Schizosaccharomyces pombe: one gene and its partners. The main gene of each other region encodes a partner of the protein of the gene in region 3 in a complex. Each region holds a gene or a part of one and is shown on either strand. Other genes may lie near its edges. The genes, in order: mrps18, rsm19, mrp2 and mrps17.

What was found.
Region 1: mrp2 (region 3) and mrps18 share a complex: the UniProt entries of both Schizosaccharomyces pombe proteins name them as parts of the mitochondrial small ribosomal subunit.
Region 2: mrp2 (region 3) and rsm19 share a complex: the UniProt entries of both Schizosaccharomyces pombe proteins name them as parts of the mitochondrial small ribosomal subunit.
Region 4: mrp2 (region 3) and mrps17 share a complex: the UniProt entries of both Schizosaccharomyces pombe proteins name them as parts of the mitochondrial small ribosomal subunit.

What each region holds. Positions count from the first base shown.
Region 1 is NC_003424.3:4,966,415-4,969,404, reverse strand, and holds mrps18 (putative mitochondrial ribosomal protein subunit S18), read left to right. Parts: upstream 1-1,542; 5' UTR 1,543-1,648; coding exon 1,649-2,182; 3' UTR 2,183-2,415; downstream 2,416-2,990. Other genes in the region: gab1 (Pig-U family GPI transamidase subunit), read right to left, coding at 1-640, 868-1,259; SHREC complex subunit Clr2, read right to left, coding at 2,516-2,990. UniProt on the Schizosaccharomyces pombe protein: Component of the mitochondrial ribosome (mitoribosome), a dedicated translation machinery responsible for the synthesis of mitochondrial genome-encoded proteins, including at least some of the essential transmembrane subunits of the mitochondrial respiratory chain.
Region 2 is NC_003424.3:384,333-387,792, reverse strand, and holds rsm19 (mitochondrial 37S ribosomal protein uS19m), read left to right. Parts: upstream 1-1,622; 5' UTR 1,623-1,643; coding exon 1,644-1,686; exon of another isoform or gene 1,687-1,749; coding exon 1,750-1,855; exon of another isoform or gene 1,856-1,905; coding exon 1,906-2,038; 3' UTR 2,039-2,572; coding exon of another isoform or gene 2,573-2,668; 3' UTR 2,669-2,732; coding exon of another isoform or gene 2,733-2,807; 3' UTR 2,808-2,907; downstream 2,908-3,460. Other genes in the region: tif313 (translation initiation factor eIF3m), read right to left, coding at 7-1,007, 1,179-1,335, 1,399-1,449; pre-ribosomal protein Loc1, read right to left, coding at 2,573-2,668, 2,733-2,807, 3,203-3,313, 3,444-3,460. UniProt on the Schizosaccharomyces pombe protein: Component of the mitochondrial ribosome (mitoribosome), a dedicated translation machinery responsible for the synthesis of mitochondrial genome-encoded proteins, including at least some of the essential transmembrane subunits of the mitochondrial respiratory chain.
Region 3 is NC_003424.3:2,504,193-2,507,461, reverse strand, and holds mrp2 (mitochondrial 37S ribosomal protein uS14m), read left to right. Parts: upstream 1-1,577; 5' UTR 1,578-1,617; coding exon 1,618-1,872; exon of another isoform or gene 1,873-1,921; coding exon 1,922-1,968; exon of another isoform or gene 1,969-2,009; coding exon 2,010-2,025; 3' UTR 2,026-2,197; downstream 2,198-3,269. Other genes in the region: mitotic spindle checkpoint WD repeat protein Bub3, read left to right, coding at 156-477, 523-1,163; AP-3 adaptor complex subunit Apl6, read right to left, coding at 2,198-3,269. UniProt on the Schizosaccharomyces pombe protein: Component of the mitochondrial ribosome (mitoribosome), a dedicated translation machinery responsible for the synthesis of mitochondrial genome-encoded proteins, including at least some of the essential transmembrane subunits of the mitochondrial respiratory chain.
Region 4 is NC_003423.3:1,165,988-1,169,043, reverse strand, and holds mrps17 (mitochondrial 37S ribosomal protein uS17m), read left to right. Parts: upstream 1-1,746; 5' UTR 1,747-1,839; coding exon 1,840-2,112; 3' UTR 2,113-2,524; downstream 2,525-3,056. Other genes in the region: DNA recombination protein Saw1, read left to right, coding at 1-357; rRNA processing protein Tsr2, read right to left, coding at 710-982, 1,244-1,510; rib4 (6,7-dimethyl-8-ribityllumazine synthase), read right to left, coding at 2,797-3,056. UniProt on the Schizosaccharomyces pombe protein: Component of the mitochondrial ribosome (mitoribosome), a dedicated translation machinery responsible for the synthesis of mitochondrial genome-encoded proteins, including at least some of the essential transmembrane subunits of the mitochondrial respiratory chain.

The DNA of each region.
Region 1 (2,990 bases), 2.5 Mb from region 3:
AAGCGCAAACACAATAGCATTATTTGTAAGCAAGCTATATCGCATTCGGTCTTGGACTTTATTAAAAATTGGGAGGAGAGATAAAAATATTGAAAGATCACAAATACTTGGGTAAGCTTTGAATAAAGAATGCAGGCCAATAAGAGCAATAGTAATAGGCAAGGGCAGATAATAAAGACGGATCGAAACAGGGAGAACAAACATCAATGGTAAAATGGCAAATACAAAAAGGAAGAATGTGCGAAATTCATTGAACATTTCTGTAAAAAAATACCACCAGAGACCCAAATTCGGAGTTAGATCATGAGAGTCCAAGTATACCCTAAATGGAATTTTCAAAAAAGATAACGAGTTCAGAAAGAAGCCTGAAGTTATTATCAGACCTGCAAGATAAAAAAGAAAAACAACGAATATCTGACGAAATTTAATGGATGAATTGCATTTTCTTAAAATAAGATAGGAGGGGAAAAATAACAGTAAAGCGTTAGGATTAATGAATACAGTCAATGCCATACAGCATGCATAAATTGCATAGGATCCGCAAGAGGCGAAATAAATGGTCATTAGAGTGGTGAAATTAAGTATCATGTCTGCGGAGCAAGCAATTCCTGGAAGAAATGTTAATGGGTTAAGCAGATAACTAAAGTAATATTTTGTTAGTAAATTTTGAGTTAAGGATACTTGTTTGCGACACAAATATATCACAGAAGTACACATTTTCAATATCGACTACGAAATCTGTGTAATCAACGCAGTTCAATCTTTGAACAGTCATCGTTAACAATTTTGTAAACCAACGATACAATGCTTTTCATTTTTTTGAAGAATGTCTCACTTTTTTTGTCGCAAGCCATATGCGTAACTTACATGACGGAAATCCATAATGGTGAACAAGTAGATAGTACTTGATTTGGGTCTAAAACACGAGCTTGTTTTGCAATTAAATACACAAAGAGACCTCCCATAGTAGAAATGCTAGTATAAACAAATCTGGTGACAGATATTCCTCCAAGCAACTCACAACAATAATTTAAGATCAGTAGAAGTGGAGACTGATAGAAAACACCACCAGAATAGGGGTCTAGTCCGTTTTCATACAAGTAAAGTCCTTCACGAACACGTAAAAATCCGGATACAGGCGTCGATACTTCGATTCGCCTGTAAAGGAATTCAGCAATCCAAGTGTTTGCTAAATACCATTGAAGAAAAAAAGAAATTGATAATAAACCTAATAGTTTTAGCTTCTCATTTGGTATCATTGCAAAATCTTCACTGTTCAAAAGATGGGTTATATTTGTGTTTTCAATTCACCAATCTTCGTTTAAATTACAGTCGTTGGGTATCCCAAATGATCCGTTTGAAAAACTTTTAAGGCAGCCACCAAAGTAAGATTTTTAATTTTTTATTTCTTTATTTTTTCTTTAAAACGAGAAGAGTGTTTTAGGTTAATATTTACACGTTCATACCACTACCACAGGTTGAGTAACATAAGTTACCTGGTATAGAAATTATGGTATTGAAGCACTCGGTTACTTACAATTTGTCATTTTTCATTTCCTTTACATTTTCATCCATATTTTTTAGTTCTTTGATTTTATTTTTGGTTTACAAATCGGTTCTTAGCAAGCTATTTTTCATCAAATATCTAATGCTTAATTTAACAAAAGTTGGACTACGAAGATTTTGGAGCCAGAGTCCTAGGCGGAATGCGCCCAAAAAGGAACTCTCTTCTCTTTTAGAATCCACAATCACTCCAAAAGCTTTTTCAAAAAGGACGGAGGAGCCAAATCCGATTATGCAAGGTACGGATACCATTCCAATGCCATTTTACCTTCATGCCAAATGTTTGAAGAACAACACTCACATTACACTTTGTTCTCCTGAAAGAAAAATTATTTTTAGGGCCTCTGGAGGAACCTGTGGTTTTCGTAAAGGAAAGCGCCGTGGCTACGATGCTGCTTATACCATTTGCTCCAAGGTGCTGGAACAAATCCAAGTAAAGCGCCTTGGTATTGAAAATTTGCATGTTATATTTCATGGTTTTAGTCAGGCCAGGGAAGCAGTACAAAATTGTTTATTAGGGCAAGAAGGTGCCGTAATTCGAGACAAAATTGTAAAGGTTATGGATCGAACACCTATTAAATTTGGAGGACCGAGAGGTAGAAGGGAGCGACGCATATGAAGTATGTTTATATTACTTTTCTGTTTTCTTCGTTTACGTAATCTTCCTGTGCAGTTAATCTGCTGCCCAACATTGTTGGTGCTTTTCCACCGTTGTATTTGACCTTCTGAACTTAGAAATGATTTATTAATACCGGTGTGATAGTGCAACATGATTTCTTAAAAAAAACTATATCCCATCTCTAATTCAACACAAATAGTTTTTACCTATCTTTCTCTGTAATTTATGAAATGCAAAAGACATTATTATTCCCATATTATTTACATTATAAATAATGACCGTCACTGATCAATAAGTAGACACTTCTATATCTAATTTTATCTGCCATACTTATTACATTACAACTGCTGACACCATATCAATTTCAGACAGTAAATATTCATAAAAATCGTCATCGACCCAATTTTCAGAGCCTACTGCTGATAATCGACTGGATGTGCGTTCTTTCACTTCTGAAGTGTAATTTAAATCTCCTTTTACGAACCAAGGCTCATACCATCTTCCCAAAACATCTGCGAATGGGCAGACGTACTCGACAGATTTATCATGCAGGCAACGAAAATATGTGTTTGATAGTTTTGATACCATTTGTAATCTTCTTGGTAATTCTTTTAAGTCATCCTTATGTTCATCAATATTGTCAGCGCTGTCATTATAATCGAGTGCATTTTTGTCAATTTGTGTCCATAGTGAGCCTTGGAAACAGACAATGTCATCTTCGTTTACATAAATATCAGATATGTACATAAAACTTGTTTTTTGAAGTACAGATGGCAGTGAAGATGTGGATATAACACATAAATCATTA
Region 2 (3,460 bases), 2.1 Mb from region 3:
AATGAACTATTCAGAGGCTGTGACCGCGGATCCGTCTCTATTTCCCTTTTTGCTAGAGGCTATAGTAAAGCTAGATAAAGGTTGCTCCATTACTTGTAGCATGTAACGTAAACTTGAACCCCATTTAGCTAATTTTTCGTGTAAAGCAACCCATTCGTGCTTACCAAAGACACGATAGCTGCTACGGTGAATGGATAACGTTTTAGTCAACTGAGACATGCGGCCTTCAACAAGTCCAGCACGAATAACATCAATGATCCATAATTCTACTTCATTTTCATCAATCTTCAAACTCTTGGCTACATCACCATAGGATAATGTATTATTGGGAGCCTGGGTAGCTAATGAAGCAATAGTTAAAAGTTTCATCTTACGTGCAATTGCATCTTCATCAAATTTTTGGTGTTGGCAATGAGCATGGTTTTCGGCAACCCAACTTACATAATCGTCGGTCATCCCGCCGGACAAAATACCAAGTAACTGTAAAGTACTTTGTTCAAGCTGCTGAACGGGTGGAAGGGTGACAATATCATCAAAGAAAAAGTACTTAGGGCTGTTAACAGCGCGTTGAACTAATTCGCGAACCGCCTCGTCAGCAGTTGAGTTGTCCATTTTTACGGCTTCCAAAAGGAAAGCAAATGATTGCTCATCATCGTATGATTGAATAGCTTTAGAAACAAAAATATTAAATGCCCGATGGTCCGATACACTGACACCAGCTTCTTTAAGCCAGTCAGGGAAGTATTTCAAATTAGGTGCAAGAGTGCTAAACAAGGAATAACGGGTAGTGAGAGTAACAACACTAGTAAGAATGCTTAAACGTGCGTGTTGACGTTCTTTGACGGCCGTATTAAATAAAATGCTTAAGACACTGAGTATGGCAGGAGTGAGATTGTTGTTTTGATCGGCAATCTGCTCTAAGGCTTGGCAAAATTTAGAAACATGATCTTCGAAAGCAGCAGATTCTTGGATAAGATTAATAAAGACGGCTAAAATAGGCTCGAGTTCTGTTTCGTGTTAGTAATAGCATGGAAGAGAAAATAAGCGAAAACTTGGAAAGCTGCAAACCAAACACATCAGCTCATAGTATACTTTCAGAACTAACAATATAACAAATGCCCTTTAGCACTTATTAAAATAATTCTTTAATTTCCTAGCCTAAAACTATTTTGCATTACCTTTCTCAGGTGCTTGTGCCAACAATGGCAAGCGAGTCAGAAACAGATTAAGAACTTCTTTAACATTTTCAGAAGCCAAATATTCTCGGCAAAGAGCAAGTACATTTTTATCGGTATTAGCCTCAAGATTATCCAAATACATAGCCAATTCTTCCACCTTTTGAAATTTCGTTAGTTGAAAAAAGTTTTACCAAAAATCGCCGAGTCATTAGCGACATACCTGTTCCTCTACGGAAGAGTCAACTACCAAAATAAAATCAGAGCCTTCCATCTCTGTTATTAATACGAATCTAGCAGACGAGAAATGCAAATATTCGCTGTTAGTGGTAGTTGGAGAGTAGGACTTGGCACCTCCACCTCGTTCAATGGTTAAAACGAAGTGGAAGTAACAACACCAGGTTGCTACCTCACATTTATTAACGATTGCTGCATTAGCAATTAACTAGCTTTCTAACATTTCACCTCATGTTTTGGACTAGTGTAGCCAGAGCTCGGTCAGTCTGGAAAGGTAAATGAATATAAATATACTTGTTTTGAAAATAATTTAGAACCTGTTATTCTGACATTATAGGACCCAACGTGGTCGATTTCGGTGTCAACGTTCAGCAATGTATTAAAGGAAACGTTCCTATAAAAACAGCTGTGCGATCTGCAACTATTTTACCTAGAATGGTTGGGTATGATACTCGTATTTAGCAAGTGTGGACGTTAACTAACTAAATTCTAGTGCTCAATTTATGGTTCATAATGGTAAATCATATGCCAATGTAAAAATTACAGAAGATATGATCGGGCATAAATTAGGTGAATTTGCACCTACCAGAAAAGCATTTCATTACAGACAAACTAAAAATCGGTAATTATTTTGGATTCTTGGCGAAAACTGGGCTATATGGCCTATTCAAAACACTTTTCACATGGATTCATAACTACCAAGAATTTCAAGTCTGCCTCAAAATTTCAATTCGTGACTTTAAATGGAGCTACCATATTAGTATTTTGTAGGACATTTCCTGTAAGAAAGCGAATATATAATTCGCCGAATCTTTTCATTACTTTCAGGCTTTTAATGACAGCACTTCTTCCAATGGATGTACTTGCACGTATAAATGTATGTATGAAAAAGTGATATGATGTTGCATAATTTTCTGTCAATGTTTTACAAAAGAATTTTGCATTCCCCTACTTGGATTTTTTATTTTTAAATTTGAAACGCAATGGCTTATGTGTTTAATGTTATTGGTTGTACTTATTTAGTAGTCTGTATAATGAATAATTAACAGCATCGAAAAACCGAATGAACCCGATATCCCAAAAGAAAATGAAAAATTAATAATTGAAAGGCAATACGAAAAAAAGGATCTTTGGAAGTGTCGTTATAACAATTGAATAACTCATTTCTTTTCGTTTTTCCGACCCGTCTTTTTATCAGCTTTGTTATTGCTGATTTTTCTGTCAGATTGTTTAGAAAAGACGGCTTCGCGCTCGTGCTAACGTAAATAGTTAGTAAATTGACTGAAACTTGAAATCAAAATAATTCATGGAAATACTTACAGCCACTTGAAGTTTAGATTTTATTTTATCGTCAAGCTCATAAGTAACTTGATTGAGAATATTTTGAAGGTCATCCTGTAACAGCAATTAGTTAATGAACAATGAATGTGGAAAATGAATAAATAGATGAAGGAATGCCCATCAATTAAAATCAAAAAGTAAAAAAACAAACAAACCAAATCAGATCAAAAATTAGATTACATGACTCAAAAAGCGCAGCAAGTTCACTTAAAACCTTATTTGTCGGATCTGGTGGTAAAGAGGAACGAATGCGGAAGAATAGGGTTCAGGGCCTTGAAAGTTTATAAACAAGATTTGTAGGATTTATATAGAGAGATATTTATCATCGTAACATCTACCACACTGACTTGAGATTTTTGTTGTTTAATGTTTTTGAATATTACTTGTTGAGTAAATGGAAGCATTTTCAACATCTATAATGAAAGAACATGGATGTGAGAATGAATTACCTTAGTTTCAGCAAATATTTTCCCCTTCTTCTTCCCCTTTTTCTGAATCTTAGTTTGGGGATTTTTAGAAGTGTTTAGCTTGGGAAGGTCCAAATCCTCCACGCGAATTTGCTACAAAAAGAAAAAGTTAGAAAAAAGGGTTCGATTTTACCAGTAAAAGTAAACAAAGAAACATTTAAAGAAGAGAAAAGAAACTCCCCTTTTACATGGTTCGTAAATTGTGAAGGAAGAAGGAGCATACATTTTTTGGTTTAGATT
Region 3 (3,269 bases):
TTTATGTTTAACACCTAATATAATCGGCATCGTTGGAAATTCATCTTCGTAAAATTCGGTCAATTACCATCGAACTTCGACGTTGTCCTTTTGAAGCAACATTTAAAGGCCTATACCTCGCCAAACTCCTTTTTCATGTCATCTGTCAGTCTGCCATGAATTTCTCAAAAACATTACTAAAAAATTCAAAAGACGGGATTTCAAGTGTAATATTTTCACCCTCTGTCAAAAACGAACTAATTGCAGGGTGCTGGGATGGTAGCTTACTGCATTATCAAATCTCGGAAAATCCCGAACTTTTAGGGAAATACGATTTATCAAGTCCTATTCTTTCTTTAGAATATACAGATGAAAAAACTGCTTTAGTAGGAAATTTAGATGGGACAGTTACTACCCTCGATCTTAATACGCGAAACCATGAGTTTTTAGGAAACCACGGTAAGGGGGTATCGTGCATTTCTAAGTTGCGTTTGGAAAGTAAGATATATATTTTATTAGCCAGCTATTCTATTAACATTTTAGACTGTTTCATTAGTGGGTCTTGGGACAAATCATTTCGTGTTTGGGATGTTCGCGTAAAGCAACCTGTCGAGGGACAGGATATAGGAAAAAAAATTTTTGCAAGTAGCTCGAGAGATAATATATTGGTTCTAGGCTGTTCAGAAAGAGAAAATTTGGTGTACGATATTCGAAATTTAAAACTTCCATTTCAGCGACGTCCTTCTAGTTTTAAGTATATGACTCGAAGTGTTTGCTGTAACCAAAATTTTGAGGGATTCGTTTCTTCCAGCATTGAGGGAAGGACATCTGTTGAATATATTAACCCGTCTCAGGAAGCGCAAAGCAAAAATTTTACCTTTAAATGCCATCGGCAGATACAAAAGGACTACGATATTGTTTATCCAGTTAACGACCTAAAATTTCATCCGATTCATCAAACATTGGCAACTGCTGGGGGAGATGGCGTTGTTGCGTTTTGGGATATACAAGTCCGAAAACGATTAAGAGTGTTAAATCCTTCAAAGATCAATATATCATCTATTTCTTTTAATGTTGACGGAAGCATGCTTGCAATTGCCACTTGTGCTCAAGAAGAAGCCGCTGGTAATATCTATGTTCATGCTTTGGAATCCAACTTTGCAGCTCCAAAGTTAAAGTCATGAAATCGCTCATCAAAAAGCTTCATCCATGTAAAATCTTATGCAGATTCTTTTACTGCATACATATGAAATTTATATTATTTGAAGCACTCCTATTTAATGTTGTAAATGTTCAATATTTCCTCAGTGCTTCAAAGTGATAATTACGGTATTTATTATTTTTTATTCCACTATATATATTAAGTTAATAAGCAATTAATATAAACGCAAGACCATATTTATATAAAGAACGGGTTACGATTAAAAATACTTAATATAAAAACAATGTGACACTATTTGGTAGAAATTATCTAATTTACTTTGTTTCTCTTATTCACATTGTTTATAGTTATTAAAATAACTATAATTATACAGATCGCTAGCGCAGTTCGTAATTTATTTTGACTATTTCATCTACTGAGAATACACTCACAATTTGAACACAACAGAGAAGCCTTCTAAACCAGAAATAAAAAATATGAGGGCTTTGGGCCACCTGAAGCATAAAGCATTTCGTGATTTATTATGTAGGAGACTTTTTGCTGAACACGAAGTTGAACGTCAAAGCAATCTCTATATATATAGAAATCCTGAGCTACCTCTTCGGGTGCGTTTAGAAGCCAAAAAGCGGATTGAGGCTTTACCGACTAATGCACATCCTACAAAAATAAAAAATCGCTGTATTGAGACAGGTAGAGGCCGAGGTGTATTTCGTGCGTTTGGACTTGCAAGGGTACGATTATAATGTCATATAAATGCATTTTTGATGCTGACTATTTCAGTTTCCTTTTCGACTTAAAGCACTAGCTAATAAATTACCCGGAGTTCGGTAAGAATAAGCATTTTTACTTTTGTCACTAATCCATTCAGCAAGGCATCATGGTAATAATCGTTGTTTGTATTTCAATCCATGATAAGCGTTATTGAAATAAAAAGCTTTAATTATCTTCCGTGAATCCATCATGTTTATTATTAGCTAATATTTATTCGCCGTTTAAATGAAGTACAATTATTTGCATGATTACATTCCAAAACTGAATATTTACATTATCAATTGTTTATGATTGCCAATAGTTAGGTTCAGGTTCTGTGAGCGGCCTATCCATTATACTTTTAGTAGATATAGAACTGGTATTGTTGTTCTCTGTATCTTCATCAGGTGTACTATTTTTTTCGTTGTCTTCCTCTTGAGAAGTATCATCCGTTTCTTCATCTTCACTTTCACTGGTTGATGTTTCATATTCTCCTTCAGAACTTTCAGAAGTTTCACTAGCATAAAATTCTTCAAGCGTTTGCTGGCCAACAAATTTTGGACGGTTAATTGCGTTAGTATCTCCAAAATCACGTTTAAAGTTATCAGAAGATAATGCTTTCACACCCGGTGAATTGTTTGAATAAATATTTCCCGTATGAGGGTTTATTGGCAAAACATCCTTGATACCTTCTCGGACAGAATCAGGCGGTAAATCAGAGACATCAGCCCAGTTAGGGATTGGCTCATATCCCATCACGTCTTCATTCAAACATAAACTAGCGGTACCAATGCAGTAGTCCCGAGAAGCAATAATTTCTTTTTGACTATTCCCCTTGCTTTCCAATACGATGCGCCTAGTAAATTCAGAACTCGGTGTACTAGCTAGTTCTTTGTAAAACCTAGCTCTATCTCGTAAATCGTAACTCATGTCAAAGTGTATCAAAGATAAAACATAATTAAAAAGTAGTGACACGACATCATCTCTTGACTCTAAATCGTTTTGCTTCTCTTCAGAATGAGACAAAACATATAGTCTTACCGATAATTCGAGAATTTGATACTTCACTTCTAATGTCTCATCAGCAAAAGTTTTAACAGCAATGCGTAGCACATCAGGGACTAGTCGCGGTATGATTAGTATATGCTCCGAAATAAGCCATAGTGTAACGGATTTGGCCCGCGGTACTTCCAAAGTTTCATACGTTGCAGCTAAATACTGCAGATATATTTCTTTAGGATCATTATGAATGAGAAGCCGAAGTGAAGAGGCAGCTTCTGTCACGATAAGGCTATTATGTGATTTAAGTAACAGCAATAAAGTGTTAAGACAAGAGGGGGCCATAGAAATGTTAGCACTAGCAAAATCACCCAATGCC
Region 4 (3,056 bases), on a different chromosome or scaffold from region 3:
TCTGTTGAGAAAATTGTGAGGTTGAGGCATAACTTGTTGTGTCACGTTCGAATTCATTTTAAAACAAAAGAAGACCTTGATATTCGGGCTTTCCTTTTTTCCCTACAGCGTGAATTGCATGCAGTTGCATTTCTCAACCAAGGATCCATCCGCACGCTCTACGAGAAAAGAGTAGTGGATATTACGAGTGAATCGGTCCAAAGCCATGCAATCATCGAAACTGCTAGAAATTTTGCACTACCAAATACTGCTGAAGAGGAGGAAAACATGGATCGAAAGCCAGAATTGCAGTTGAGTTTTAAAGGATCAATGACTAGTAAAATAATACATATTTATGTACAACCATTCGATTCATGAAAGAATGTATTTTGCGCCTTTTTACGTCTGCATGACTAAAATACACTCTATTTACAGCCTAATCTCATAAAAAACAAGTATTAAAAATTTGAGAAGTGAAAAAGCTGCTCAATTTAACTCGTATTCGTATTTTGGCGGATCACGTTCTTCTATACTTTTAACTACATCTTCTTATGACACGGATTACAAAGGCTTAAAAAATATAAGAGTTATTTCGATCCCAATTTTCAATTTTCAAACCAAAAACTTGAATTTTTATTATCCCCCAAAATACAAAAAAGATAAAACCAATTGCTCCCAGCAATAATGCTCATTTAATGATACCAAAAGATATAAGAATAGTACATCCTCTTTAACGACGTCTTTTCTGGACAACGGTGAATCCATCATCATCAACAATGGGTCCCTGCTGCTTTTCCTGCTGATTTTGAGCAGCTCCTCCATCCTCAGCATCAACAATCGTTTCGTCTTCTACCAATACCGGAGGATTTGACTCTTCTCTAGTTTTTTCCTTTCCTTCCTCCTTTTCAAGCAATTGTTTTCCGAGACGCTCATGGATTTCACGAATAGGTTCATAATTATCTTCGCAAGCAGCTTTCCACACATTAACCAAATCTTGAGCCAACTAAATAGACTGTTAATAGACGTATCACTTGATAATTATTTTAAATGCTAATAGAAGTAAAAAATTTTTAATATAGACAACAGAACGCAATATGTGTATAAACTCGAGCTTTTGACTAATATTCCAATATTTCGTCCTCAAACTTAAATCATTTTTTCGGTGCCAATATATATATACGAATCTTCAGTCTCAAGCAAGCTTGTTACGTTCTTTCTTGTTTGAAAAAAATCTTTACCTAATTTAGTATTGGTGAATACTTACGATATAGGGTGAGTCGTCTTCTATTGAACCAACATTGAATTCATCCTGCAGGACTTGAAGAATCAATTCTTCAACGTCCCATGCTTCCACATCGCTCGTAACTGTAATATAATCAACTAAAACTCCTGCCATCCAGTCTCGTTTATCGGCGGTATCGACATCGGCCCATTCTTCTTCAACAGCCTGTTTCATAACAGGCCATGAACATAAAAGAACACCGACAGCATATTCAAAATATGTCAGTCTCTTAGATGGGTCGTCAAACATGGCGAAAACACAGTGTCAATAACCCTCGTTCTTCTTCTCTACAAAGTCACCCTACCATAAAGTACTTTAAAATAAAATACACATACTTTTCCGATCCTCGTTATGTTGTTTATCACATTTATATATTATCATTAATTGACTTAAGGAAAGCTTATTTATGTTAAATAATTATAAGGGAAAAGACGCCGCTTCATTGCACATTTGTAAATAGGGCAATGTCAAAACTCTCTACTGCTAAAACGGTGCGCATTGATAACTTAGTTATTGTGGGTATTTAAAGGATTAGACTTACTTACTTTTCTTGTTTAATCCTAAAATTACTCTGAAGAATGAAGCTAAATTATGTGGGAATCGTGATTTCTCGTGCAATGCCAAAAACAGCGAAAGTGCGGGTTGCAAAAGAAAAGTTCCATCCAGTGGTGAAAAAGTATGTCACCCAATATCAAAACTATATGGTTCAAGATGATTTAAATTGTAATGTTGGAGATGCAGTTACAATACAGCCATGTAGGCCTCGGTCAGCGACTAAACGCTTTGAAATCATAAAAATCTTAAGCACAGCCAACCGTATGAGCCCAGCATCGGAGATTTCGAAAGAGTAAATAAAAAATCCCCATTAATTTTTGATGATTCCTAATGATTTCGATTGATCCATTGTGATAAGTCTTTCGCGGTGGTCATGAATATTGTAAATCGGTGATTGACCGCTCTTTCTTAACTTGCCAATTACCTGTATACACCGATATCGATTTTAACTGGAAATTTTTACATTCACAATGGCTACGTAATGTTGCAAATTGTAGATTGTGCATCAGAAGAGTCTCAAATCACATTCATTTCTAAAAGAAAACTACTCTTGTAGTACCATGTTTCCTGCTCCCAGCATTCAATGCCTTTAAATTTGTTTACAACTATGTCAATAATACTTCTGTAACATCTTTTTTTGTAAAAAGGGCAAGTGATTGAACAAGATGCATATAGACAGTAATATATTCAAAATAAAGCTTACAAAACATAATAAGTTGGGATTAAGTCTTAAGCAAATTTAAAACATCGTATACATTAACCCATAGCTGTATATCTTAACAAACTGGGGAATCATGAAAATACGTTGCAAACGATTGAATGAAAAACATACTTGTTCAACTAAGACGGTGCTCATAAGAAAGCGACAATGTATAAAGGATCATGACTAAAGCTTTAGCATGTCAGTAGGTCCTTTCGAAGAGCAAAACAGTCAGTAGCATATTTTATTAACAAAAAAATGAGCAAAGGATTCAACTTAATTAATACAAAGCTTTCAATCCCATCTCTACAGCAGCTGATCCCCAATCATTTCCATGGTTATGGCCACCATTCAAACCTGCACGATAAAGAGCTTGCTCTTCATTTAAAACTGTTAATAGACCTAGAATGACGGGAACACCTGAATCAAGGCCAACGCGCATAAGACCATGAACAACAGCTTCTGAAATATATTCAAAATGCATGGTGGAACCTTTGATTAAAACGCCAATGCCAATAACAGCATCATATGTATTGCGGG